Linked DNA regions of Arabidopsis thaliana. The protein of the gene in region 2 interacts with the protein of the main gene of each other region in a pairwise test. Each region holds a gene or a part of one and is shown on either strand. Other genes may lie near its edges. The genes, in order: AT2G27770, ckl8 and AT4G18630.

Region 1 (9,497 bases), on a different chromosome or scaffold from region 2:
TTTACTTAACCACGGTGAAATGTATATATATTTTTTTTCTTAAGAATCAAAATAAAAACTAGATTACTAATTTTATTATATAGTGTAAATTTGGTATTTAGTTTATGACTTCTAGAGTTATCGAATCAAATAGAAACTAGATTACTGATTGTATTAATTGTGTAAACTTGGTATTTGGTTTATGACTTCTAGAGTTATAGAATCAAAATGAAAACTAGATTACTAATTGTATTAATTTGTGTAAACTTGGTATTCGGTTTATGACTTTTAGAATAATATAGAAAAATTGTGTTGGCCGACTGACTGAAAAATAAATGATGTTAAAGATTTTCAAAAGAGAACTGAGGGATATGTAGAGTAAATGTCACTTCTGAACCGTAGTTACATTAATGTCACTTTGGCATTGTACCAATTAATATACTATTTCTAAATAATTGTATAGTCACATTAATGTTACTTTGGCATTGTACCAATTACTATAATTATAATTGTATATTTGTATTCGAGGAAAGTTCTCCTTTCATTATAAAAAATTGTTAAATTCAAAGGATAAAAATAAAAGACATGGTTGTGTGCCTATATATATGGGGTACACTAACATTTACAAAGGACACATGCAGGGCCATGTGAGGAGCTTAAGCAAATTTAATGCTACTCTTATTCAGAGATACCGTTACTTATTCTTTCTTTATCTTTTTAAAAAAATCTATTTTCTATATTTTTAATTTCCATATTAAAAATTAAAAATTGTTAATAAACAATTTAATTCTACTAGAATTTGTTACTCTAAGAGATTAAATTGTAAAACAACTACTTTGTTTATGATATTGTAAGAGATCATTTGACTGAAGACAGTTGTTATGATTCTTTGGCAGTGAAGTTTGGAGTATATGGAGAAATAAATATTTGCAGAGCAAAAGAGTACTTGTTGGATGAGTATACAAGTACTAGTAGGGGAGAGGGCTGATAGATTTTGATTCGAAAATTAAATTGTAAGACAATAAGGGACCACTAATGAAGGGAGTGAAAGCAATACAGACACTGTGTGGCACATGTATCACCCTTCCCTTTTAAGTTTTTTCTTATCTTTTTATTTCAATTAAAATAAGAAAGAAAATAGAATGTTTGACTAGAGGATATTCTTAAGGAGATTAATAAGTGTGAGGTTTGGGTTTCTTAGGAGAGACGTTTAGGTGAGAGGGAAGCTTTGGTTTCATTAATGGAAGATATATTAAGTTAGAGAATTCGTATTCTCTTTAGTTTGTAACTATCTGAACTACGTTGATAGTGAATTCCTAAAAGTATATTTTTCAAGACCTAAGATTGCGTTGAGTTTAGAAAACTCGTAATACTTGATTGTGTTTTCTAACTTAATTTCAAACGTAAAAGCTTTTAGGACAGTATGAAGACTAGATTCAAAAGTTTGGAACATGATATCTTCTATACGAAAGCAATGGGATAGAAGATACGAAGGTTGTATTTCGGTTTGGCTTGTATCAAGACAAGAAAGAAGCTAGTTTCTAATTTTTTCATTCGATAATCATATGTTAAAAGCGCTTAAACAAATGCTCCATTTATTGTAAAGTTTTTTTGGAAGAAATTTTACATTAGTTAAAAAAGAAATGAAGAGTGTATTTAAAAAAAAAACTCATATGGTTCTCAAAGTAAAAATAATAACAAGGATAAAGACATCAAAACGAGGTTGTTGAATATGCCAATCCATTGATTATTTCAAGATAGATTGTACACATAACAAACAAAATATAGAAATGATATAAGTTCAAGTAAAAATGAGAACATGTTGGATTGGAAAGGGTTCAAGAAAGAGAACATAATAATTTGATATGTATAACACAAGATTTTCCATATAGAACTATGTATCACAAATTCACAATGTACACATCAGATTACTCTAACAAAAGACTGGTTCATAAAGCTTGAATCATTCGAGGGTGCAAAGGCGATGATGGCTAATGACATTTCCTCTTCAATCAAATGCATTTGTAAGGTGAAGTTCACTAATCATCACTATTTGAAAATTATTGTCACAAATGTTAAGAATGGCTCTAATATAGGGAAAAAACACAAATATATGTGGAGATTTTGGAAGTTCATGATATTTGAGTTAAAACCTTTTCATAATATCACAAAGAGTATAACAAGCTACTAGAATAAAATTGGCAAAATAAGATATACACTCTTGAAAGATATATATAATCTGTTAAAGAGTAATGGGTCAAATACATGAGGGTGTCATCGGTAGGTAACTTGGTATAAGTTTCTATGGATGTATGATAAGGATTATAGTGGATCACCTTACCTCAATGTAATATTTTTGTAGCATAGTTCGAAAATGGTACCATAAACCTACTACATCTTCACCAAGCTATCATGTTCATTCTATAAAATTCTTTATGTTTTCTTTGGTAGAACTATTAATTCTTTATGTTGTTTTGACTAAGTTGCCGATATAAAAATCTCGAAAGAGTAAAACAGGCATTATGATTGTTTTAGTATATGCTCGAAATTAAGTAAATCTGAATGGCTTATCAATATAACTGGTTTGAGATTTGTTAAGAGAAAATATAATAGAAGTGGAGAGGGATGACATGAACCAAATTTGTTTTATAAATTATTATAAATTCATGATCAAATTGCAATTAGTGATACCATGTGAAACATTCTTTAATGTTATATGGATGAAACATCCAATTGAAATATTTCTAAGGTTTAGATATATATTTGTTTATAATATGCAACCTGAATTATTCATGGAATGCAAATGTTGTTAGTGACTTAAATGAATAAATGGTAATGAATGTCCAGGCACCCCATAGTGCACATATTACATTTTGTATCATACATGGTTTTTTAATTTATATATCGTGTTGTGTGAAAACGTGCTATCGATATCTCTCTCTCTTAAAGCTTTGTTCATTATATATGGGTTTAACAGTCAAATTTCTATTATGTGTAAACAATGGTAAATTTGTCAGCCTTTCAAATTCTGGATTAGTTTTAAATGACTCGAAGCAGTATTTTAATTATATTGTAATGTTATGTTGACCGAATCTTTATTTTGTATCCTATTGTATTATAGTAATACTTATATCCTTTAAATACAGAGGCATGGTTAATCTTAATCGTATGATATTTACATGCAATGATCATTTTAATACTCCTAAATTTCTATAGTATTAAATAGTTAACTCCAATTTATCAAAACTCAAACTTATATGAAAACATAAATTCGGACTGACTATAATCAAATTCTAAAACTAAAGCTTGAACTACTTACATCACCTAAAACTCTCCAAATCAACCAATCTAGAAAAAATATTTGCTTGAATGGGATGTCACCACCTAAACCTCGCCTAACCGAACCAACTTAACTAAAAATTAGCCATTACTAGACATATTTTCTTACAACAATTTTAACAAAAAATGTAAAGAAAAAACTTTGTACTTTACAATGTAGTCACCTAAACCATGAAGAAATTGTTCCTTGAATGATCGAGATGTTAATCACCTAATACATTCCTAACCAAAATAACCTAACTAGAGTTGGAACTTGAAAACATAATAAACTATGCCTTAAATTTTCACATACTGATATTCTAAAACCAAAAGAAAAAATAGCATTTTACATTTTTACTTCATTCACAAATTTTGTTAGATTAATAGGAAAAACAAATTAGCATGAGTAGATTCTAGACCTTTTAACTTTTGTACTTTAAAGAGGCTCCATGCATATCTTTATAGGCGTGCACATATGCCCCAATATATTCTCATCTTATTTCACACTCTTCAATTCTTCTTCCTTAACCATAATCATCAATTACTTCAACATTTATGAAAGAAAAAAACGTATATCTGTAGATGAGCCTACATAGTAATAAACATCATAATGTTGCCAAGAAAGAGAGTCATTGAGACAAATATTTTCCCAACAAATGACTTCAATTTAAGATATGGCAATGTTCTTGAATTTGTAAGAAAACCAAATTTAAAATAAAAATAAAACAACAACTCCTATGAAGAAATTCACATCTTTTGGAATCTCTCAATATTAAATCACAACTCCAACCAAAAAAAAAAAAGAATGTAAGAAAGAAAATAAAATCTATACTCCTCCCAAGAAGAAATTGTAAGTTCAAAAAAAAAAAAAACCCCATAAAAATATCTCAAATATTAAAAACAGAATCAATCAATCAATAACCTTTTTCTTGTAAATCTCAAAAAAAAATTGAGTTTTTTTTTTATAATGTTTTTCAAGTCTTACAGGCGTAAATGAAGAGAGAGAAGTCAAGCTTGTCTTGTTGATCTTTCTTAACAATCTTCTCTTCTAACCAAAGCCTGCTGCTGTCTAAACCATTCCTTGTCCTAAACATGAACACAGCTCTTCCACAAGCTCCTTGATTACTAAAGAACCAATCATGAACATCCCACATCAGATCCACAAGCAATCCATCCAAGAAAATCGTTTGATTCCCTCTGAAATTCCATTGAAGCCTCTTCACTTTTATCACCGTCTTCTTATCAATACAAACAGAGAGAACAGGGTAATGATTGCTCTGTTTTAGACCCTCTGTTTCTTTATTACATCTGATGACGATTTCATGTGAATCTCCTGTCTCAACGAATCTTACTTTAGTCGAGTAAAAAGTATTGTTCCCTGTGAAATGTTCTTGTCGAGAAACAAGAGAGAAATCGAAACCGATATCGCCGGAGAAACCTTTTTTACGGAGAGTTTCTTCAGATGAATCTCCAAGAAGAAGACCCATTTGACCATCAACGAGGACGATAACGTAGAAGCCATTGATAGGTTCAGGACCACACAAGTTAGAATCATATTTAGCTGAAGAAAGATCCCAAAAAACCTCGATTTTACCGAGATCGGAATCAACCGATTTGTTACCTTTCTTCTTACGGAAGAAACGAGAAGAAGTGTTGAGTTTGAGAGTTGTTGAAGGGTTTTGATCTGCGGATGCAACAGAGATGCTTAAGCCATTGTTGTTGTGTGGATTGCACCATGTGACTTTGATGATGAGATGTTTCGATAAAGTGATTCTGTAGATGCTTGTAATGGAGGTTTGTATTGATGGTATGAGAGATGGTGAGATACAAACATTGTTGGTACTGTATTTTGAACATGATGATGATGAAGATGATATTGATAAGGGATGTGTCACGTTTATTGAGTTCTCACTGAAACATGACACCAAATCTCTCATTTTCTTAGGAAAAAATTGTAACAGAAAAAATGAGATTTTCTTGGGAAAGAAATGAGATTTTCCCAAGATGGGTTTTGTTTGCTTGCTTGTTGAGACAACAAAGTGTGTTTCTCTTTTACTTTGAGAATACTTTGAGAATCAAAAAGATCAAATGTTGTTGAGAAGAAGAAGAAGAATGAGAGAGTTAACAAATCTGGGTTTTTGTAGGTTAAAGATTTGAGTTGCTTTCTTTTTATTTCTTCTCTGATTCTCTTTTTTTTTCTTAATGAGAGAGAGGGAGAGAGAGAAATGGATTAAGGTCTCTGTGTGTGTGCTAAGAAGAGAGTGGAGGTGAAAGGAGCCGAATTTAAGTAGTTTTGAGCTTTCATTGTCTAGGGGACACAAATTTGATGTTGATATTTTTTTTATTTTTTTTTATTGTATAGTTGTATGCTAACTAATTTTAAAAGTTTTTGTACTTTAATATTTTATTTTTTATTAATAAATTTCTAAAGGGAATTGAAATTTGGTGTTACTCAAATATGACTTTTTGATTAACTTAAAATTGTTTATGATACATTTGTAAAGTTTCTATAAGAGAATTTAAGGTTTATGATTTTTATATAGATCAAAATGATAAACATATACTAATTTAGGAAAAATATTAGTGTATATATAGATTGAAAAAATGTCTGAATTTACAGATAGAGGAATTCTTCTAATATAATGATGGTCAAAGCAACTCTCAGTTAATATAGACATAATATAATCGTTATAATTAGTGAGAATTTGTTTTGAACCATCCATATTTTAAGAAACCGTCATATAATTAAAGGAAGGTTCGTAATGTAGTAATTACGAATACGTTTTTCTTTTTTCTTTTGTAGTTCCATACATCGGAGTCAAGTCGAGAGTTACAATTTATAGACGAAAAAAAAAAAAAAGTTTCAGGCAGCTAAAACTACTACCAATAATAGACTTGTTGCAAAAATAAAAATAAAATGTTTTTACTTATATTTATTTAAAAATATCCTTAATCCGTTTTGAAGAATCGGATATATTAGGAGTTTGTATACAGAATCTACTAATAAAATTTTGGATCAGAAGGATTACATATATGAATATGTCAAGAATATAAAAATATATAACAAGAAATTAGAGTTACACTCTTAGAAAATTTTACAGAACAAGTTTATGTTTTTTTTTGTCTTTTAAATTATTTCATGAACCTGCTTAACTGGGATATCTTAAATCTAATCCAATTCACTCCAATAAAACAGATATCCAATCTATTTGGAAGTAGGTTTGAATTGGTTGGATCCAAGGTGAAATTATATATATATATATATACGGTTCATGTTTTTTTTTTTTTGGTAGTAGAAATGGCATTTTAAAAGCAAGATACTAGAGAAGTGACTGTGATTGTGATCTACTGGTGTTCATAAATTGATACCACCTCACCTGAGATTGAGTCTCCTTCTCATACGATAGAGTTCATTGGGATAATAAACTGACATGTTGTGCCCATATAGACTAAAAAAGCAAATCAATAAAGCTTCATAGAAGTTAACAAACAAAAGAAGTAAACCCGGATATAATGGTCTCGGAACAAATCGGATCGGATCTAAGAGAGGAATTGTGAGCCGGTTGTACAAATTCTCTTAACCGCCAAATGTTGGAACTTCGTTTATTTGCCTGTGTTGGCCTAGATTTTCTCCAAATTTTGATTATTCAAACTCTTGAAATGATATAGAAGTGTTTTAGCCAAAACAATTAGCCCAATTTATTACTTCTCTTTTATCACCTATACATTAATAATAAAATTTTAGAATAAACTTTTTAGTTGGGTTACCAAATCCAGAGGGAACAAAATTTCAAAAGAACGAGACCGTCTGCTTTAAAAATTGAAGGAACGAGAGATTATTTAAAGACAACAAATTTAAGAAAATAAACTTGAGGCAAACCAAACTATTTTCCTTCTTAAATTCTTGAGATACATTATCTTATCGAAGTGAGCTCCATCTCTTCTATTGACGCCCGCCATGAAATGATATTCAACTATATATTGCATCGATAATATATTATATGACATAAGTAATACAAATATTCAAAATAAATGATATAAAATTCTTTTTTTGGTAGTGATATATGGGGTTCTGCATCCGATCCGGTTTTGATGAAATTCTTAATCTTAACCTATTATGCGAACACTCAGCAAAATCCAACTCGTATTAACACGTTAGTACTATTTTATAATCAGAATTTTAAAAATAAATAAATACTATCATAGCTATAATGAAACAAACTAAGCCAATAAACATAGAAAGGAACACGGTTGCTTTGTTTGTCGTGACATTTGGGTGTGGACTTTGGACATATTTAAAATCCAGCCAACCTAGAAAAATTATATTATCACTAGATGTCTCTTGTCGAGCATAAATTCCATTATAAGAACTCATAAAAGATGTCTAATATGTTTATATAAATGTTCATGTATAGCCTGATTTTTGGAATGGCCAAGATCGCAAAATATGTTCTATTATATCCACTATAAAAAAGAAGAGTTAAAACCACTCGAAACAGCGAAAATGTAAAGTGAAACATTTTGCATTTCATTCATTCGTTCAATCAAAATATTTGCAGATTCTTTTTTCTTTTTCTCTTTTAATACCGTACTGTTACACTGGTATCGAAATACTACCGTATCAACTTGCAAAATGATTATAACTTATAAGCATTCAGTAGAAATCATTTATTTTTGTTAAACAGTAGAAATCATTTTTTCGATCCCGAAACGAGATGATGAAACTAATCACTGACAACCATTTTGTGAGTTTTAGTTATTGTATCCTAAACATTTTGATGGAAACATGAGGGTTCTTTAATAATTAAGAATGATGACCATTTCTATCAATTACTAATTTAATCAATTAAAACCTTTTCTATGCGTTCGTTATCGGTTTTGGGCGAAAATAATTATTTGGTGTTATAATAAAATAAGAAAGTAAAAGTTTATAAAGACAGCCTAACATATGGAGATCCGAATAATAGGTATCTTGCTTTTGGAGCTTTCTGATTATTTAATCAAAATGTTTTCAACTTATGTTCGATCTGGATTTTATAATAATTAAGATTCTAATCTGTGCAATAATAAGGTATTTCTTTTTCTTTTGAAATAGGCCACATATAGGAAAAAAGTTCTTGAGTGTAATCATATTGCTGATCGCAAACTATTCATATTCATATTTAGTGACATATAAAGCAAATCAAGGCCAATATGACCTCGAAAATCTATGCAAATAACTTAATAGACTGTTAACAAAATGTGTCAGTATTTATTTTCTTATACATCTCAGTCAAACATAGGAAACTAGGATTTTACACTTATTATTATACTTTGCCCAAAAAAAAGCAAAAAAAAAACAAAACAAAAACTTATAATTACACTATTTTTTTGGTGCTATACAATTCACAACATGTTTCTGTTTCTAAGTTTCTAAACTCATACTACACGTCTCTGACAAATACATGTAGGTCTTTTAATCAAAAATAAAATAAAAATAAAAACGTTTTCCCATACTGTAGTTATATCAATATGTTTTGATTGTTTTCTATTGTTCAAATGTCGTCGTGTTTTTGGAGTAGTTCGTTGCTGGGAAAGTTCTTTAATTACGTGATTATGTGGGCAAGTCAAGCCGTTGACCTAGACACCTAGTTAAGAGAAGGATGATTTGGTATATATATATATATATTTGACATTATGAATTCATAAAGAACTTAGTGAATATACATAACATAATGTATTTAATTGGTATAGATGCATTGTAGAGAAGTTACATTCAATTGAGAGGTCAATGCTATTGGGTTCATAAAACTTGAGAAACAAAATAGAAATGTCATGTGGCTGCATGTGATTAGAAGGTACGTCGAAATCAATTCCATTCCATGAGTCTATTCTCCTACTGTCCTTTTATTTTGGGTAGTATTGTAGTGGTTTAAGACTTTTTTACAAACTTAAATATTATTAATTTAGACATACATACATGGCCCCAATTTTAATTTAATAAGTAGAAGATAACATTCTAATTAATAATTAGGGGAACTAAAAAAGGGGGAAGAAGCTTTGGTGTAAAACGATGATGAAACAAAGCTTGCCTGATAACAACAACATTATATATGATTTCTTTTAACAATACCAAATGTCAGCATCAATTACCAAAATCCAGTAAGATGAATGGGTCTATGATGGGCATATTTTCACAAGTTGAAAACATGTTTAAAATA
Region 2 (11,495 bases):
CATCATATGGTCAATGGAACGTTCATCTCTGTCAGCATCTTGCAATAAAAAAGTCTGGAAGGCCTGCCAATCCCCAGTGTCAGCCTCTGTTCCTTTTGTTGCCCTCTCTTTACCATTGTAACATTCTCCTCTTGCCACTTCTTCATGATTGTCATCAGCATCAGATTCTGTTCCAGAATTATCTTGCTTCTTTGAATTAATGTAATTTATATTCCGAATCACCACCTTCCCTGATTTCCTTCTTCTACTTGATTTTTCATTATCTCTTTCCTGATCTTCTGATTCGGAGTCCTCGCTACAAGATGAATGATGTTTCCGAGCCTTTCTTTGGCCAGAACCACGTCTAGAATCATCGGTAGACGGATAGGGAGATGGATATGGACTAGCTCCTGGATAGCCTGGGTAGTATGGCATGCCCTGCATCGTATATCCTTGAAATACTGGAAAGGTGCCCGGTGGGGAGTGAACTGGCCAGGGTGCATACATCGGCTGCCGATGCTGCCCTTGCACATATTCTTGATTTCCATTTCGTTTGTTGTCTGTAGGAGACTTCGCATCTGGATACAATAAGTTTCTCGAAATGAATATCAATTGTGCCAAAAGCAATGCCAAACAATGCAAGAAAAGATATTCAACTCTCAGCTACTATGACTCATAAGAATCATCTTACCACTATTTTCAGGTGTCCCAGGCATATTAGCAGCATTTGCGAACATAATCCCTGAGTCGTTCATTGTAGAGATGTTTGGCTGTGTTGCCATTACTTCTGTTGCTTCAATTTCAACCCACTGGCCAGTTTCGTGCTTTTTCTTCCACAAGTCCATGAATTTCACACATGCATCCCTATAACATTGTTGAAACCAAACATGAGAAGTAAGTCTATGAAAAGTTTCTTTCAAACTTAAAGACTTTAATGGATATGAGATTATTGGTTGCAAAACAAAGAAGAAATTGGTGTAAACTACAATCTTCTCACATCAAACGTGAGGCTCCAAAAGTTTTGGCGAAAGATATAAGAGGAATCATATCATCAGCCTCAAAACCAGCTGCCACAGCACGTGCAAAGGCCATTCCTTGTTCTTTCTGCAACATTATCTTCCGTGTCTCCAGAACTTTCATAACTTGAGCTCTGATACAATTCCACATATTACCAATTAGATACTTAACTACTCTCTTTGTTGAAAAACATTGAAAACCAAAAAACAATTCACGCAAAGGGGTATACTTAGAGTTTTCATCTGATGAGGTAGACCGATTTGCTTGCTTTGGATGGGAATCAGGCTGTTCAAATGCAAGAAGATGATATAAGTTGTTTGTTCCAAAGAGAAAAATAAGAGAAAAGGTCCTTTAAATTATAGAAACCATTTCAGTTCTAATTGACCTCGTAAAGGACAATAGCTTTCTCCTCGTTGAGCTGTAGCAAAGGCCTGCTACCTGATTCACATTCTCACATATTGGTTAAACAGAAAGATCAATAGCCAAGAGACACACTATTTTCGATTTTATGAGTTGAGATTTGCTTAGTATCAGTCAAATCCTGAGACGGGAATATTGTTTTTCCAAATCAGTAGCTTTAGCATAGAGACTCATAAATTACATAATTTTATCCTTATGGCATACCTTCTGCACTATCTGCTTTTTTTGCTCGATGATCGTCTTTCACCTGTTTATACAATATACCATTAAGTACTTCTGACCATACAACAAAGAAAGTATTCAAAAGTCCCAATATACTTACAACAGTCAATGCCATTTCCGAGTTGTTCTGAATACCAATGGCTTCCTTGATCTGTATAATCTCAGTTTCTAAAGTATAAACACGTTCTATGACTTCCGGCGTACTCACAAATCGAACAAACCTAAACGAGTACAAAAGAAGAAAAAACTCTTATCTCAAAGTGTCTAGTTCCATACAAAGACAACTAATGTATATGACACAAACCTTTCAATTGTTCCTTTAGTGAACCAAGCCGCATTGTCACTAGCTTCAGGCTTGAGAATAATCGAATAGCCACCTTTTTCCAATTGATCTTTTGCAGTCTTTAAATGAGCAAGAAATGGATCAAGTAACCCTGTAGCTATTTTCTCAGTCTTTCCATTAGCTGTTACCAACAAATCACACCTGTAAGAACCACAAAGAAAAAGACATTAAATTTTCCATAGTAATATGGTACACAAACAACAAAATTCAGTGACTTTTGAACCTATCAATGAACATAAAGATACAGTCTTTCTATTTGCATTGAACAGTTCTTCACAAAAGTTAACAACAATTTTCTGCTTAAGTAAATAAAGCTCACGAATACAAGAGTTTATACAATACAAGAGAGAAATTATTTTACATTAGCTGTTACCTACCTAATTAATCAATGCAAAGAAAAACACTTAAATTTTTCGTTGCAAGTTTGGTAAGAAACCTACAATTTTCAACGACTTTTGATCTTATTAATGAACCCAAAAAATGCAATCTTTCAACTTCCATAGAACCAATTTCTCAGAAAACTAACACAAATATTAACATTATAACAACTTTTGATCTTATTAGGAAACCCAAAAATGCAATCTTTTAACTTCCATAGAACCAATTTCTCACAAAACTAACACAAAATTTATCACTTTAACAATATTTAATCTTTTAAATGAACATAAAAATGCAATCTTTCGACTTCCATAAAACCAATTTCTCTAACAAGTCACACAAAGTTTAACACTTCTAACAATTTTTATGTCTTATCAATGAACATAACAATGCAATCTTTCGACTTCCATAGAACAATTTCACAGAAAGATTTAACATTTAGGATCAATTACCATATCAGGCTTCTCTAAAGCTGACGAAAACAAGAGTTTACACGAAATTTAACTTACCGGGTTCGAGTGGGAGTGAGCTGAAAAGCAACTGAGTCAAGCCGAGTCGAAGATTTCATCGCTAAATTATCCAAAGATCTTCAAAACTTTTTCAGATTAAGAAATCATCCGAAGAAAAACACAAATTGCAGAAAATCCAAGTTTAATCATAGAGAGATGGAGAAATAAGAGAGAGAGAGAGAAGCTTTTGTCTTCATTGTCTGCTTTGGATTCCAGCTGGAAGAGTGAGAGCGAATTTTCCGAGGAAGTGAGTGTGGGGGACTAAAATAGTAATATCGCGAAACATTTGGGGGTAAAATCGGAACTTCGCATGTGGCCACTGGTGTGAGTGTGAGTGTGTGACCGTGTGAGTGAGCTAGTGATAGTGAACATAATTTATGTCGTTATTGGCTCGAAATTCATGGCTTCTTTTTCGTGACCTTTTTCTTAATCTCTCAACGGTAAACAATGGTATGTATTTCCAGCATCCGTCTAATGCTTCCATTGGATCCATATGGATCATTTGAATCATTAGTACTTGATAAAACACATGGAATTTAGTGATGAGCTTAACAAGTTAAAACCATATACTTTATCACATATAATTTGTAATCAAATGATGTTCGATTTATTCCTTAAATTAGGAAACCGATAATTTCGTGAAATAAAAACAAAGTCTCCATCCATTAAAATGTCGCAGTGTCCTCCAACACGCTCACGATAAAGCCAAGCCTCTCACTTCCTCTTTCCATTCCCTATGGTGAGTAGCTCAAAGCTCTGGAGCGTGATGTCACGAGCAGTCCTCGACGGCGCAGCTCGGGTAAAAGAAGAAGATGACGGTCTAGTGGTTGGGTCAGGGACGAGCTGAGTCCTCTGAGCGGTTGAGGAACGGCCATTGCTTGGGACAACTCTGCTAGAGCGGTTCTCTGTGAAATCAGCTGAAGAAGTGGCTCGTACGCTCGATACAACAGCTTTTCTTGAAGAACTTGCGTGTCTTGTTGAAGAGATTGGTCTTTCGACTCTCTCATAGTTTTGCTGGTTTTGATCACGAAAGAGATTAAGAAAGGATTTGAATAGCCAATATAGAAAAGATTTCATGGTTTTAGAAATGACTCACTGGTGTTGTATCCTTTGACGATGCTAATACATTCTCTGAGGTTCTTGGTCTAGATCGATCAGCTTGTACCACACCGCTTCCTGAGCCATTTCTTCTAGCATATGCCTCTAAAGCACCTGAGAATCTATCTCGACTGTCTTGCCCAGCTCCAGCTGTATACATACACAAATTTGGTTTACTATGCCCGGTTTTGTTCAAACACCAAACTATGAGCAGGGAACATGATGGTTTACCGAGTCAATTAACAGAAAATCAACAGACGAATAGGCCTTGACATCCACTTAAGACATTCATATAAAATTGATGAACCTTTCTTATAGCAAAATGAAGAAAAAGAAAAGACAGAAACTAATCGGCTCCTAGGTGGCCATAAAGCACTTGATTAGCGCCTAGCTTTGCAAGTATAGGGAAACTGTTTGATGAAGCAAAGAAGCAGAAGCACACACGAAAAGATACACGGAAACTTAGGCAAGATGAAGGTTATTGAGTTGGGCTTACCTGAAGGTTTATCTGGTCTTTCGGCAATTGGTACTGGAGGATTCATAGCTGGTCTCAGGCTTGACTGTTGGAAAACAGAGACAAACGTGAGAATTTGATAATACGTTCTAAGGAATTTTCTAAGATGATGAAAATTTCCAAAAATATAGATGTTACTTACTCTTGGCTTGGAGCTAGAGCTGGAGCCCGAACTAAACTGTGGATACTTCAAGATTGTCCAATCAAATACATAGTCAAACTGATAACCTGCAAATATATAACATTAAAAACAAATTCTTTGAGTTTCTTATGTGAAAATATTCAAGCATAAGCTACTACAAAATCGAGACTTTTCCCAACCTTCTCGAATAAAGAGATCCCTGAAAAGCCTCTTTAGGTATGGATAATCTGGTTTGTCTTCAAACCGCAATGATCGTACATAGAGGAAGTATGATGTGAACTCAGGTGGAAAGGATTTACAGAGAACCTGCCAGTGGAAATTTAAATTGAATCTATGAATGCATCCATGGCAGTTTCACCACAGGGTTCCGGATATAGTTGAAAAATGGATTACAAATTGGTACCTCTACAGGTGTAAGCCTTTTCTTTTCGCTGATCTTGTCATACTTCTGTTTTTTGGTACCCGCACGAAGGCCTTGCCAAGGAAGACTAGCAAGAGAGACTGAGGTTTAGGGACAAATGGAAACAAATTGAAGAAAACTCTAAAATACTGGGTGAAGTAAAGATGTATCTATACCTTCCTCGAAGAAAATACATAAGCACGTAGCCAAGAGATTCCAGATCGTCCCTCCTACTTTGCTCTGTTTAAAGGATCTCAATTTAGTTTGATAAACGTACAAATAGTCAAGTTTTTAATGTGAAAATGAAAGAAGAAAAAGCAAACAATACTCACCAATTCCAAGATGAGTGTTAACACTTGCATATCGAGCTGTTCCAGTAAGATTCTTGTTTTCCCTAATAAGTAACTCTCGATTAGTAAATATATTACCAATATTTCACTAACAATTCGAAAATTTTAAATTGAGCAAAACTTTTTAACAAGAAAAAGAAAAATGTGTACCTGTAGGGAATGTGTCTATGAGTTTGGAGATCTCTATACTTTTTTGCAAGTCCGTAGTCAATGATGTACACCTAGACAAGAACAAAGATGACATATCAGAGAAAAGATGCAAACATATAGAAGGATTCACAAGGTAGTAGCAAAAGAAATTCCAAAACCAAACAAGTATATTATCATTCCACACAATAAAGTTGCATACCATAACTACTCACCTGGTTCGCTTTGCGTCCAAGACCCATCAAAAAGTTATCAGGCTTTATGTCACGATGAAGAAATCCCCGGACATGCATATACTCAACTCTATTGATCTGAAGAAATCAAATCATGAGCAACACAATAACTCAAACATATCAGAGAAAAGGTAGATAATATATCCGTACCATTTGATCTGCGAGCATTAGAACCGTCTTTAGATTGAACCTCCGACTACAATAATTAAATAAATCCTCCATACTCGGACCCAAAAGGTCAATCACCATACAGTTGTATTCACCCTCAACCCCATACCATTTTAGATGTGGAATACCAGCTTCAAGAACACAAATGTAAAAGTTAATAAAAGAACGATAACTGAAGGTTTAAACCGACAAAAGGCAAAACTTACTTCCTCCTTGAAGAAGCATATAAAGCTTTGATTCATAATGAAGTTGAGGATGTCTAGCTCTCGCAGGTTCCTACAAAGAAAAAAACCAAAGTTTTAGTAATCAAGAATGAGTTTTTACACATTACTGAATTGAAAAGGGTAATAGTCAAATGTTGAGACTTACAAGCTTCACAGCAACTTCTTCTCCAGTTTGTACATTAACCCCTGAAAACAAAAGAGTTATTACAAAAGCAAAACTTGGAATTACCAAAAGACAGAAGAAACTTCAAATCACATTACCTAGAAAAAGTTCACCAAATGATCCACTTCCAAGTTTACGTCCAAGCTTATACTTACCACCAACCACACGATCCATCGTTACCAAATCAAAAAGCTTCCTCCTTTCTTCGATCTCTTAAAACAACTAATCCCCAACAAAACCAAAAGTTGACCCAGATCTCAATTCAATGTTCCCTACCTCTCTAAAAGCCTGATCGAAATTCAAAGATCCCCAATTCAAATTCTAGTAAGAACCCTTCAAATATCTGAATCAAATCAAAATTGTAATCGATTCACCAAGTAATCTTATGCTTCTGCTTTAACACAAACTAAAAATCACCCATTGACCAACAACATCTTCATAGAAAGTCTGACACTTTTTTTCAGACAAAAGCTTTAGATCAGATTGAAGAAACACAAAATGAAACGGAAGAGACAAAACCAAAACAAAAAAAAAAGGTGAAAAGAACAAAGAGAGACGAAATCAGACCCAAAAAAAAAAAAAATGGGTCGTTGGATTCGATTATCGTTTGATCTATAAAGACTGCTACGAGACAGCTTGATTCACTATTTTTTTCTCTTTTTTTTTTGCTGAATTTTTTTTTTCTTAAGGAAGATAATGGATTAGAGACGAAACCAAACGTTAAAAGAAAAATGAAAAAGAAATCTGACGAGACGGCCTTGAAGAAGAGATTTTGAGATTTTCTTTCCTTATCCCTAATTTTTTACAACTTTTTATTTTTTTGCTTAACTAATTTGTTTTCTTTTTCTCCAAATTTGATTTATTCTTCATTAACTGTAAACAGTAACGTCACTATATGAAAAAGATGATAATTAATGACATAAAATTAGTTGGATTTTAATATTTTCTAGCATCTTTATTTTCTTCCGCTCAAGCAATATTGATTATTTTTTGGTAGGCCTCAAGCAATATTGATATTTGATTTGAAACTATTACATAAAAAATATCATAAAAAAACATAATATTCTACCAAAAAATGAGTATTTGATAATATATTTTTAAAAGTAAACAAAACAAAATTTGTCTCGAAACTATCAGATACACCATAAAAAAAAAATTGGTACTATTTATAAAATACTATATAATCACTTGATTGTTAAATTTGCTTTTTAATTTTTATTGGTAATAAGAAAAATTATTACTAACTCGATAAACCCTGATATAAAATATTTTATTATGTAGAATAAAGTAATATAATAGAATCGAATTTCGATTGATATTATATTATCTTCTTTTTTTGTTTAGACCATTTCTTCAATAACAGTGTCAAACATATAATGACATGCATTTTCTACAAAGACAGCTAGAACTTTAGTTTTATATATTCAGACACCACTTACAAAAGAAGAAAATATTAATTAAACATGAAAAAAGTAAACATTGAACATCCCCATTTAATTAGGGCTTTACCAAATTAGTCGGTACGATAAACTCGTCTAAACATTAAATGGGCTTAATTAGTTGGGCTTATTTTAACACTAAATTGGCCCATTATAACTTCCCAAAATGATATTGGTTCGAGATGATTCGATAACGTGGGCATCAATCCATGGATCATCTCAGCTTTCACCATCACCAATAAATAAACACACAGGTCTGCTTTCATACCTTCACGCTCTCTCACTGATCATTCACAATCTCTCTCTTTTTTTCACCGGCGATAATTTTCCGATCTCGATTATAAGATGGCGAAGGAACCAGTTCGTGTTCTTGTTACCGGAGCTGCAGGTAAAATTCTTATTTCTCCGATCTTGTTTCTTCCATCTCTCGTTATTGATTCGTATCGTCAGATCTTTATGTAACACCAATTTTTCATAATCCAAAAATGTAAACGATCATTGAATCATATTTTCGATTCCTATAGTGAGATCTGAAGAGAGAAATTGATTGGATCATTTGGTGAATCCTGTTACATTTTGAGATGTAATTGTCATTTTGGATCAGTTATTTGATTTTATCATGATTTGTTCTGATTTTGTAAGCTTTATTTGGCGATTGATTTGTAATTTTGTGTGTAGATCATGTTTAAGTGTGTTTCTGTTATTGTGCAGGACAAATCGGATATGCTCTTGTTCCTATGATTGCAAGGGGGATAATGCTTGGTGCTGATCAGCCTGTGATCCTCCACATGCTTGACATCCCTTTTGCAGCAGAAGCTTTGAACGGTGTGAAGATGGAATTGGTCGATGCTGCTTTCCCTCTTCTAAAGGGTAAGTTTTTATTCTAGTATATATTTTTACTGTGCTCGTATTGGAATATGGTATGTTGCTTGAGGCTGAAATGTGATGTTGGTGTTTTTTCTGTGGAAGGTGTGGTGGCTACAACTGATGCTGTTGAAGCGTGTACCGGTGTTAATGTTGCTGTCATGGTTGGTGGTTTCCCGAGGAAGGAAGGAATGGAGAGGAAGGATGTTATGTCCAAGAACGTTTCCATTTACAAGTCTCAAGCTTCTGCCTTGGAGAAGCATGCTGCACCAAACTGCAAGGTGATAAGTCTTTTCGAATCGTTCTTATGATCATTATGCAGAAATTAAGCAAGTTAATCTCTTATTTTGTTGTATGAGATATTTCATATTTGCTATCTCTTCGTTTTGTAGGTTCTGGTTGTTGCAAACCCTGCAAACACCAATGCATTGATCCTGAAGGAATTTGCACCATCGATCCCAGAGAAGAACATTACTTGCTTGACCAGGCTTGACCACAACAGGGCATTGGGACAAGTGTCTGAGAGGTTAAGCGTACCAGTGTCTGATGTGAAGAACGTGATTATCTGGGGAAACCACTCATCAACCCAATACCCAGATGTCAACCACGCTACCGTTAAGACTTCCGTTGGAGAGAAGCCAGTGCGTGAGCTAGTCAAGAATGACGAGTGGTAAAAATCTCTAAAACACCCTTTTAATATCTCAATCTAGTTTCGTGAATGTGATGCTCATGTATGTTAGCAACTAATGTTGTAGGTTGAATGGAGAGTTCATCTCTACCGTTCAACAACGTGGTGCTGCCATTATCAAGGCCAGGAAGCTGTCTAGTGCACTTTCTGCAGCTAGCTCAGCTTGTGACCATATCCGTGATTGGGTTGTTGGAACACCTGAGGTTCGTCATTACTACTGTTTTATCTCGAATCAATTGGTTGTTTTGTGTACTAAGTAAAACTAATATGTTCTTCGACTTGATTTCTCAGGGCACATTTGTTTCAATGGGAGTATACTCAGATGGATCCTACAATGTTCCAGCTGGACTTATCTACTCCTTCCCCGTAACCTGCCGTAATGGAGAGTGGACCATTGTTCAAGGTAAATATATTTCTCGTAACCAAAAGTTATACACAATGTTCTTAAGAGAATCCTAGCCTAAAGCTGACCCGTGTAACGGAACCGTAAACTGGATTGTCTACTTCTAATCCTAAGTGTGCAAGGCTGGTTCTCGCTGCGATGATTAGCTCATAGAACTAGATATTGGTCTAATATGTGTTGTTGTTATTCACAGGTTTACCGATTGATGACGCATCGAGGAAGAAGATGGATTTGACAGCAGAGGAGTTGAAGGAAGAGAAGGACCTCGCTTACTCATGCCTCTCTTAAACCGGTCTTTTCTCAGCTGGTTTAATCAGTGAAAGCTTTGTTTCGAATAAAGAAGTTTTGTTATAAAATGAACTTTTAATAACCTCATGAGCTTGAGGTTTAGTTTTCCTAATGTGCCCATGATGTGTCGGTACTGATTTGCTGACCAGATATAAACAATCATTTTGATAATTGACCTCTTTTGGTTTCCTTTCGTAACGGGAGAGTGGAGAGTGGAGAGACAACAACAACTCGAATTTTTTGGTAGACTTTTTCAGATATGGGCCAAAGCTTTGTTGGGTATTCTTTTGGCCCATATGAAAAAAATACAAAAGATTTCGCAATTGTGAAATAAACAGCTTAAGAATAGTATTATAGAATAAAATCTCGCAATAATATACTCCATGGTTTTTATGCGATTTAGAACAATGGGATAATACTAAATTAATAATTTGAATTAATTTTACGTAATAATTTTACGTAACATTTATTTTTTAATTTACTATTATTATTTAATTATGCTATTTTTACTATTTACCAGTTCATCCAAATATAAAACCTTATTAGCCTATCAAAAAAAGAAAACGTAAAACCCTATTTCATAGGTTTTTATCTAAAACTAAAACCCTATTCTATGAGTTTTTTCTCCAAGACTTGCAGTCACTTTGATTTATCTTGTAATTTTATTTTTAAATATAATTTTTTTTCTATAAAAGAGCAAATATAGCTGCAGAAGATAATGATTTGTTGGGTATTGTTGATAACTCTTTTTTTTTCTTCTAATTCCTGATGAATTATCGACGGCTTAATTCATGTCCTCTTTTTTTTCCTGGACATTGAATGTTAGTGACAAGTCTATATAGGACCTAAATACATTCCAACCTTAACATTTATTATTGGCAATAAATATTGCTATACATATTTTTCTCATGTTATCTACTAATCTGTTTGTTGTTTTACTTTTGATATCAGCTTCTAATAACAATAACATTTTTTTTTTTTTATAAAATCTGTTTGATGAAAAAGATAATAATTCAAAAAAAGTAGGAAAACTCATAGTGCAACTAAATAAATCTAAACAAAAAATCTAAAAGTCTGACAAAACACAAAAAGAAATCCTAACAAAATCCGATAATTAAGCAAAAAAAACAAAAGGAAAATAAAAAAATCTAAACAACAATCTTCTCCTTGATTTTCTCCGGCTCAGTTTCGCCGGAAAGCTCCTCAAGTGATTTCCCATTAGTCTCCGGAATTGTAAACGTGAGAAGCAAGCCAAGCAAATTGATTCCTGCCATGATGTATAACGTGTTACTCATACCCAAAGCTTTAACCAAAGCCGAAAACCCGAAAGAACCGACCATCGCACCGGCTTTACCAGACGCCGCCGATATACCGTGACAAGTCGACCTTATCCTCGCCGGGAAAATCTCAGCCGGGACAATGAAAGTAGTTGCGTTAGGTCCAAAATTGGAGAAGAAAAATGTGAAAGAGTAAAGAACGACGAAACCAATCCGGTTAGCCGGTAAG
Region 3 (9,797 bases), on a different chromosome or scaffold from region 2:
TAAGTTAAAACGATCGAGTCGGTAGAAAGAGTTTTCCGAAACCCTAGAATCCGGAGAGAGGCTATATATAGTGATGTACATATATGTCAATTAATATATGTTTGTAGCTTTTGTAGCTAGCTATATATTAGCCATAGACCATAGTATTTAATAATGATGGCTTGGAGCCATGAGTTTTAGCATAAGCTTGTTTTAATATGATTCCATGTTGCCCTGTTTCTTTATATACTAGTATACTATATGTTATTCATGAGTTTGGAAGTATCGGTTTGTTACAAATCGGAAGTTTTGATCTATCATATCTACTGTAGTTGCTAATTAACTCGGCTTACTTGCGCCCGTCTCATTTTCTTTGAGTGTAAAAATTTGTTGATCATCAATAAATAATTTTACTGATAGAGATAAAAAAAAATAAAAAATTTGACGTATTCTTTTCTGTTAGACCGGATAAATAGACATTCAATCAAAGGTTTTTTTTTTATTAACCTACAAGGTAGTGAACTCCATTTGTTAGAACAACTTCCATTACCTTCGAACTTTTTTTATTCTTAATAACACAGAAAGTTGTGATACGGTTGCAAAACAATTTATCAATGGTGCCGATAAGATTGTTCAGAGGGTGGCAATGGGCATTGGTTTCACTTGCTTACCATAAAGAAAGCAAGTTTGAGAAATACCAAAATTGCGATTCTGTTTTTGATTGTGACTTGTGAGCCCCAACAATATATGTATATATTTCAGCTTGAGCTCAATTCCCATATATGCTACAACTCTAAGACGCAATTTATGAAAATTTGGATTTTAAATAGTCATCATGTCCATGTTTCTCGAGATGGATATCTAAGAGAAGAATAATTTGAATTTTATAAGTTTATTAAGTCATATTTTTAATACTTAAATCCAAATATAATTTGTTCCATGTATTTTATTTTTATTCTTATAATACACTTATGGAAATCTATTCTATTTTACTTCATATCTTTACCCATTTTTAATTTGCAATTTACCTTTATAATCCACTTATAAATATATATAAAAAAATCTATTACATTTTATCTCATGTCTTTACAGATTACACATTGGAATTGAGTTTTTTTTTTCATCTAAAACTTTTGTTATTTATATAACCATGGAGGTGACACAATGCCGGCCGTTAAACATGATCTTAGTCTAGGAAGGCTAAACATAAAACCAAAGCCAAGAAAAGGACTAACAAACGGACTGGATAGTTTGAAACCCAAAACCAAAACAGAATGGATTTTGTGCTGTGTGGGGTGAAGCATAAATGTATAAATGGAAAATATCATCATTAAAGTTTGGGCTTATACGGGCCTTATTTCTAATAGGCAATAGACTGATGGAACATTGAATATGCCTACCCTGGATATGTAGAACTTGCATGGCTCTCGGATTGGATACGTAGAACATTACACTTATGAAGGAAAAAAGATTGGATTCTTTTTTTTTCTGGTCGGCAACCAATTAAGAGAAACACTGTTATGTTTGTAAACAAGTGTGTGTTTCGCTAAATTCCATTGTGTGCTTTTCCGGTTTAAATGACATCTGTATTTACCTCGTGGGCAATGACACATCTATCTATATTTAGCTCCAAAACATTGCTGCAGCAAATTTCCAAAATAGACCGACTAGATTTTAATATAATATTGGTAATTTTTATCAGTTGGTAAGATATTTAATTCTTCGTGAAAAGATACTCGTATATCTCTCTTTCTGTTTAAATGGTTGATATAGTCAAAAGAAAAACCTTCAAAGAGGGTTTGTTAAAACCATATTCCCTATCACTCTTGTCAGAATACCCTTCACAGATGGTTTTGTTAATCTTTTTGATAAAACCAAGTTCCAGAATATGCAAGCCTTTTATCAAAAAGCAAAAGAAAGTTTCTAAATATGCCAACAAGATTGTGTAATTTTTCACTATACAAGGCAGTCAATACTTGTGTACAAGTTTATATTGTAAAATGTTTTTTGGTTAGTATATAGTAAGAAGAATTCGAATCGAACTCTAAAGTTTAATATTACATGAAGAATTCGTAAATAAATTAAACAATATAAAACACTATAAAAATATTTTAGTCGGTGGCTTGCCTTCATTTATATGTACGTAGATTCGTTCGATATGCTTTAAAACAAGTGAATACGAAAATTCTAAAGTAAGACACGAAAATACACGTCGATAAAAGACAAACCCATTAGAAAAACAAAACAGAAAATGGAAAGTTCTAAGCAAAAACGATGTCGCTCTAGCGTAGTCGAGACCATTGAAGCACCATTACCACTAGTGTGGTCCATCCTACGTAGTTTCGACAAACCACAAGCTTATCAACGTTTCGTCAAAAGTTGCACCATGCGCTCTGGCGGCGGCGGCGGCAAAGGAGGAGAAGGAAAAGGCTCCGTCCGGGACGTGACGTTAGTCTCCGGCTTCCCGGCGGATTTCAGCACGGAGAGGCTCGAAGAGCTAGATGATGAGTCTCACGTGATGGTGGTAAGTATTATTGGCGGTAACCATAGGCTTGTTAATTACAAATCGAAAACGAAGGTGGTCGCGTCGCCGGAGGATATGGCAAAGAAGACGGTGGTGGTGGAGAGTTACGTGGTGGATGTGCCGGAAGGAACTAGCGAGGAAGATACAATATTTTTTGTTGATAACATTATTCGGTATAACCTTACTTCACTTGCTAAGCTCACAAAGAAAATGATGAAGTAAGCTCTATATGTTTAAGCTAATCAATAAACTAATCGTAGTTATAGTTATGAATCATTGGATTAAGAAAAAAATGGATCGTTATGGATTAGTTTTTAATCTTTAAGGCTTTTAGCATTGCAATAATAATAATAAAAATATAAAGAATCGGAATAATATGCTCGTGTGGTTTCTTTCTTCCGTGATTGTAATTGTCTCTTTTCTCCTACTCTTTTATGAAGAGAAATAAAATGAAGGTTATTTCTACATTTTTACAATTAGGAATCTTTGAAATAATGGTTTTAAATTGTTGACTCAGTTGGTTTAGTTACTAAATATACTGATTTGTATTGCTGACAACAAAAGTTAGACTAAATACATGTTTGAAAATTTTCTTGATAATTCTTTGTCCATTTTGCATAATGCATAGTAAAAGGGCATCATGTAAGATTCTTAATTTGAAGTTCTAAACTAATTAATATCAATACTTTAGTATAATATTATTAGGTTGGAAGGTATTTTACACTCAGAACAGAAAGTATGATGACCTAAACTGTAGATCTCGTGAATTTCATGGCCGTTTGACTCAAATCTGTTCGGAGGTTATGAATTTATGATGTCCGTTGAATCATTGAGCTGTTGAACTAATGGAGTGGTTTACTCTATAATACTTTGGTGTGTTTTTATCAAAAACCGACCGAATCAACAGATATAATTTATTTTGAACAAGTTGGTGAAAGACAAAATAGAGGTTCTATTGATCTAAATATAACGGTGAAGATTGGAAATTTTCATGTTTTTTCGGGAATTGGGCCTTTATGAATGGACTATTGGGCCTTGCTATTTCAAAGCTTGGGTGTTGGTGGGGCTTGCTATTTCAAAGCTTGGGTGTTGGTGGGGGAGTGTGAGTGGTTGCCACGTGAAGGATACTTATTCCCTTGTCCTTTTCATTCCCGCAATTTTAGGGATTTTGGTCAACGAAACTTATTTCACTTTCTTTCAGTAAATCGATTTTTTTCTCAGGTGTATATTTCTCAAGTTATTGTCTACTTTACAAATTTTCATGGGTTTCTCCTCCTCTTTTTGTATTAGATAGATTAGAATAAATGTTCGCTTGACCAGTCGTTAATTTATTTATAGACACTTTTGAAGAATTGGTTATTAATAAATGTAGTACCTACCAAAACATAAGTAACGACAAACAGATAGTTAAGTTATGATTAAAAGAAATTTCTTCAAATACCATTTCTATTAGTTTTTCTCTCATTTTTCATACTATTATTCTTCATTCTTTTTTTGTTTGTTTAGCAATTAAAAATCAAAGTTTTGAATATTGGAGACGGAAAGAGGTGGCCGAGTAATGTTTTTTCCTCTTAAAACGATTACTATACTACCTAGAAAACAATTACATAATCTAAAAGTAATATACTATACACTATGTAATCTAGAAGTGAAATGTTAATTTATAGTCAATATCTAAGGCCGGTTGTTTTAGCAAATTATAAGTCAATTTTTTGGAATGTTATGAGTAATTCAAAGTAATTAAATTATATATCGTAATCGAGCCCCATCATCCGTCGAGGCGAATGCCGCGACTTTTCTTTCAAAGACTTTAAACAAAGTAAACAATTAGTGGTGCATTCGGAGAAAAGAAAATTAGTGCTTACATTATAAACGACGTTGCGTGGCTCGGAAAAGGACACAACAACATGTGTTACATTACCAAAGTCGGTAATTTGGCTCACATAAATGTCTTTTCTCACTTTTTCTTTTATTTTGTTTGTTTCATTACTTTTAGAGAAAAAAAAAATACAGTTGAAACTTGAACCACAACTACTCCTCACGTTTTGCCTTGAGGAATATTTCACCTTATTAGGGCCAAATTTGTGTCTCTGATCTTCTTGTACTCCGATGTCTAACGACATCGTTATGTATTCACAATACATAAAATTTCCAACAAAAAGAAAAGTAGTTGATCTCAATATCTCATCATTAATTTTCAATCAAATCTTTGTGGGGGATGGGATTTATTCTAAGCTCAATTATAACTTATATAAGAAATGAAAACAACCAAACACAAGGTTAAAGAGAAAGTCTCTTTATTGACAATTCTTTAGTCGCACACTTATAATAGATTCATCTGCTATTTTCCTAAACTCCAGCCTTCAATCTCGGTCCTAGACATTCGGCAATCATTTACACACATATATTAATACATTAACTCTATTCTTATTTTTCCGATTTTCTTACTTTAATAAGAACAACTACAATCTCAAACACATAGCAAGAGAAGAGATACACAAAACAAAGACTCTGTTTGTTATTCTTCCTTCTTTTTGTTTTCAAGAATGGAGGGAAAGAAATTGAATTTGTATGCTCCATTACCATCAATCAGGCGAATTCCGTCTATGATAGAGCGTTCAAGTGAGTTAGAGAATAAGAAGACGACGATTACAAGACCAGAGCTTCGATCATGTCCGAGCACAAAACAAGAAACGCCGGTTTTTGTATTACCAGACCAGAGCTTTGATCATCTCACAGAACCAGCTTCAATTCCTTTTATGTGGGAACAAATCCCTGGAAAACCAAAAGATGACATGGCTACATTGATTCAAGAGTCAGGTCTACTAGAAACCGATGATGAAGAAGAAGACGAAGTAGATGAAGATTTGGATACGGTTTCTTCAAATGTAAGCTTCTCTGTTAACTGCAGCACAAGTGGAGTTAGCGAAATCGAGAAGACCGGTGAGAGATCTGATTGTGATGAGAAGTCTAGAGAAAGTCTTGATCTAATGATGTCAAGATTCTTACCAGCTGCTAAAGCAATGGCTCTTCAGACACATCAGAAACATCAATCTTCTTATAACTCTTCAGAGCAGAAGCTAATCACTCAGAACAGAGAAGCTCTCGTAGCTCGTCAAAGAAGTCAACTGGTTGCAGAACATGAACATTTCGCCATTGTTCAGAGTCTTTACGATGACTTAAACATTGATGATGATACTGAAGACGACGAGAATGATGATGATGGTGATGATTATGGTCATGTTGATCACAAGATCTACCCAGCTGAAGTTACCAAGAAAGCTTGCGGATTCTTGCCAAGGCTTTGTGCGAAGAACTCATTCAAGTTTCTAAACCCGGTTCCTTTGGATTCAGTATCAAACCGGTCTATGAAACATTCGGGTGATCAAACCAGTTTACCAAACTGGTCAACTAGGCGTCTTTCCGGTTTTATCTCTCCGTACCGAACCTCTTGTTCGGATTCCGGTTTTCTCGGAACTCCCGAGAAACCAGAGAGCTTCAAAAGGCTAAACAGAGGAATAAGCAAGTCTCAAGAACTGTATCCAACAAGAACAAGAAGAGAGGTTCTTCCTAATTACTCAAATTCTGGAGAGATCAAAATGTTTAGAAACTCGATCTCTACTCCTTCGAGGATCCAACGGACCACAATTCACGATTCTAGGTTTCTTGTTGAGGAAGTAAACAGAAGAAGGAACAACAAGTCAGGGAATCTTCAACAAACATCGTCGGAATATACACCTGCGCTTTCTCCTCCTCCGTTACCGGAAACTCCGTCTCGTTCCTGGCTCGGACGAACCCTCCTACCGCCGGTGAACCCGAGACCGTACGGCGTCGTTTTAGGTCAAGTTGGTATCAAGAAACTGAATCAAGAAGTTCTTGAATCTACGAAATGGGAAACGATCGTTAAAACATCGTATGTTCACAACGATCACGCTCGTTATTCTCAGGTATTAATTACTCTTTGAACATTTTTGGTTCTAACAAATCGAATTCTTTTAAAAATACGTTGTATTATTGAACATTTTAATTTATATATCTTCTCTTTGTGACATTCTTCTATGCAGGAGCTGATTGTTTATCCATCTCGCCAGCAAAATACATAAAACCAGACAAATTACTTCTTGTTTTTACATTACAATTAAGTTAATAAATAGTTTTAAGGTTTGCCTCTTATTTTTCTTGTAGGCAACACAAATGTACCCGAGATTGATTCTTTATGTTTCAATATTTTTGTGTGTGTTATAATTGTGGCGTTTGTTTTCCGACCGCATTATTTGTAATTGGAAGACCTCATGTTATTGATGTTAGATACAATATGGATTCCGTGCCTAACCAGTTCTGACTTAGCCGGTTTAGACCGGCACAATTATACAACATAACCAGGCTGATTCATAGTGTCGATTCGATAAACCGATGAAGTTTCTTAAATAATCATATATGATCATATCATCATAATTGAAATTAGAGCTATCTTTGTCTAAGACACACATATAATATAAGATTTTGATTGACTTCTTTTTCTTATAATATCAGCTGCAATTGACATTTGATCATGACGGAATAAAATATTTTAAGAAAGTAATGGGAGACATGTTACTAGCGATGATGCTCTTTTTTTTTTGCTTTTGTCAAATTACGGGTGATGACTGATGATGTTCATGCACATTAATTCAAAACCCCATGTCATGTGTGGTAGTGCTCATTATACACAAACGATATGAAAACCGTTGGATTACCGATATCCAACGGTCACAAAGATTCACTATTTTATTACGCACTAGTAAAGTATAAGAGGCAGGCACGTCCCCCATGCCCCATGAGTCTTGTTGTTGAATTCGATTTTAAAATAACAAAATTAGAGAGTGAGAATAGATTTGGATACTAAAATTAAAAATACATAAATCGTTCATTTTGTGTTTTAAAATACTTATGGTGACGTGGCTTAGTGTAGTATAGTTAAGCACGTATAATTATTAAAAAAAAAAAATAGAAACCAAAAGTAAACTACAAGAAAATTAGGGGTTGTGAAATTGGAAAATTTTCGAAATAATTAAAAAAAGAAAACAAATTGTGCAAAGAGAGAGAAGAGGGAAGACAAAGGGAAGAGGGAGGAGAGAGAAGGCACCACCCTTTGGCCCTGGAGAGACCAAAGATGGTCGAAGAGAGACAACTCTGAGATCATCATCATCATCCTGCAAAAACTAACGAGAAATCGATTTTCAAAAATATAATCAAGATCGATTTCTAGGGATATTTTGATTTCTAAATCCTCTCACCAACATTCTCTTGCTTGCCCTACCCGCTTGCTGGTTTCATCCAGAAACATAATAATACATTGTTTGCATTATAAGGAATTCCTTTATACAGTAAGTTTTATCATTACCTATCATTTGTTTGGTTCCTTTACGTAATTTGCAATGTTCCTCATTTTAAAGAGAACAACATAATGTTTTTTTTAGGTATATATACGTTGCTTCTTCGAAACGGTATCCCCTTTGGTAATTATTGTTATTTTTATTGCATTTTCTTCAGGTATCAAGAGATCCACAAGAAGCTGTTAGATCCCAGAGATTAACACTGTGATGAAAAGGGTTTTGTGAAAATCAATTTTCAAACCTGGAAAATGATGATCAAGGACCCTTATATCCGACAATTTTCTTCTTTCTTCTGTACATTGTAATATATAGAAAATTAACATTTTTTCTCTTTCTTTCTTTTTTTTCTTTTGATATTTGGTTTGGTTATATAGAAGAGAAAGTTTGTTTCTGGGAAATGGGTTTTTTGGATTTTGGTTTGTAATTAGGGAAAAAAATCTTTAGTATATAGTGTTTGTTGTAAAAAACCTTATAATGATGGGTTGTGGATTTCACTTCCCTTGGTTCTTCTTCTTGATCATTGGCCTTCAAGCTCCTCTCTCATTGTCCCTCACTTCCCAAGGTTAGATCTTTATAATTATTATCTTCTTGTTCTTGTTTTAAATGATTTGTTTAGGGTTTTCGTTCATGCTTTAATTTGTGTTGAATTCAGGATCCGCATTGTTGAAGTTCCGGGCAAGAGTCAACTCAGATCCTCATGGGACTCTTGCGAATTGGAATGTTTCTGGTATTAATGATCTCTGCTATTGGTCAGGGGTTACTTGTGTTGACGGTAAAGTGCAGATTCTGTAAGTTCCTCTGTTTTAGACTAAACTATGAGAAGATGAGACCATTAGTGTAACTATGTTCTGATAAATGTTTTGTTGTGTTTTTTTAGGGATCTTAGCGGATATTCTTTGGAAGGAACGTTAGCTCCTGAGCTTAGCCAATTGAGTGACTTAAGATCTCTGTAAGGATCTTTTCTTTGATGACTCAACTCCGGTTTTTCCATGTTTGGTTGTTTTTTCTTGGAGTAAACCACTTTCTTGTCGTTACAGAATACTCTCTCGGAACCATTTCTCCGGTGGAATTCCAAAGGAGTATGGGAGTTTCGAAAACTTGGAAGTCCTGGATTTGAGAGAGAATGATTTGAGCGGACAAATTCCACCTGAGCTAAGCAATGGCTTATCGCTAAAACACTTGTGAGTTAACATTTCTAATGTTCAATTCTTAAGAAAATGTATTGAATAGAAGTGTACCTTAAATGTTTGTTTGCTACGACCTTGTTGAACTGATGTAGGTTGCTTTCTGGTAACAAATTTTCGGATGATATGAGAATAAAGATCGTGAGACTTCAATCTTCGTATGAAGTTCGGTTAAAGAAGAGTCCAAAGTTATCACCTTTGGCTGTTCTCGGCTGTATTAACAGAAAACTTGGACACTGGTAAGCTCTGTAATATATATTCTGATTCATCTAACACAAAGAGTGTTTTTTTGGTTATGCATATCCACCGTTCATCTTCCTTGACAGTGTTTCAAGAAACCGTATCATTCAAGTAAAAAAGGTAGAAGCTATTGTATTCCGGATCAAAGCAACCTCCAGACGTTTCTTGAAAGCATTCCCTAGTAAGCCAAAGACAGTTTGGATTCAACAAATTTAACGTAGAAACTAGAGATAAGTACTTGAAGGTGTCATTTCAATCTGATTCTTGCAGGCTTTTTGGAGGAAACTGATATCTACAAACGACGTGAGCTACTCGAGGAGACAAGTAATTTAGCGGCTGAGCCTGCTCCTTCAGCTCCTAGTCCTTCTCCCGGGATTATAACTGAAGCTTCACCTCGAAGCAGCGGGTCTTTCCCTGCAGTAACCAATGCAAAGAAGAGAAGACCACCTTTAGTCCCTCCTGTACCTTCTCCTGATAAGGGCAGTACTAGTCCTG

What was found.
Region 1: the proteins of ckl8 (region 2) and AT2G27770 interact in a two-hybrid assay, tested with the Arabidopsis thaliana proteins (one large-scale study listed by BioGRID).
Region 3: the proteins of ckl8 (region 2) and AT4G18630 interact in a two-hybrid assay, tested with the Arabidopsis thaliana proteins (one large-scale study listed by BioGRID).

What each region holds. Positions count from the first base shown.
Region 1 is NC_003071.7:11,828,818-11,838,314, forward strand, and holds AT2G27770 (DUF868 family protein (DUF868)), read right to left. Parts: upstream 5,611-9,497; 5' UTR 5,235-5,610; coding exon 4,272-5,234; 3' UTR 3,726-4,271; downstream 1-3,725.
Region 2 is NC_003076.8:17,382,461-17,393,955, forward strand, and holds ckl8 (casein kinase I-like 8), read right to left. Parts: upstream 7,141-11,495; 5' UTR 6,482-7,140; coding exon 6,406-6,481; intron 6,331-6,405; coding exon 6,290-6,330; intron 6,197-6,289; coding exon 6,127-6,196; intron 6,052-6,126; coding exon 5,903-6,051; intron 5,831-5,902; coding exon 5,735-5,830; intron 5,594-5,734; coding exon 5,523-5,593; intron 5,417-5,522; coding exon 5,355-5,416; intron 5,263-5,354; coding exon 5,199-5,262; intron 5,111-5,198; coding exon 5,026-5,110; intron 4,929-5,025; coding exon 4,802-4,928; intron 4,709-4,801; coding exon 4,623-4,708; intron 4,527-4,622; coding exon 4,463-4,526; coding exon of another isoform or gene 4,347-4,462; exon of another isoform or gene 4,120-4,346; intron 4,117-4,119; coding exon 3,965-4,116; intron 3,883-3,964; coding exon 3,583-3,882; 3' UTR 3,300-3,582; downstream 1-3,299. Other genes in the region: AT5G43310 (COP1-interacting protein-like protein), read right to left, coding at 1-557, 671-843, 977-1,281, 1,382-1,434, 1,621-1,859, 1,943-2,122, 2,869-2,927; c-NAD-MDH2 (Lactate/malate dehydrogenase family protein), read left to right, coding at 8,092-8,134, 8,458-8,616, 8,716-8,891, 9,003-9,280, 9,366-9,501, 9,590-9,701, 9,895-9,989; PHT1;6 (phosphate transporter 1;6), read right to left, coding at 11,138-11,495.
Region 3 is NC_003075.7:10,252,129-10,261,925, forward strand, and holds AT4G18630 (hypothetical protein (DUF688)), read left to right. Parts: upstream 1-4,648; 5' UTR 4,649-5,049; coding exon 5,050-6,450; intron 6,451-6,567; coding exon 6,568-6,606; 3' UTR 6,607-6,829; downstream 6,830-9,797. Other genes in the region: PYL13 (PYR1-like 13), read left to right, coding at 2,231-2,725; MRH1 (Leucine-rich repeat protein kinase family protein), read left to right, coding at 8,353-8,440, 8,531-8,666, 8,756-8,827, 8,916-9,059, 9,158-9,301, 9,389-9,483, 9,573-9,797.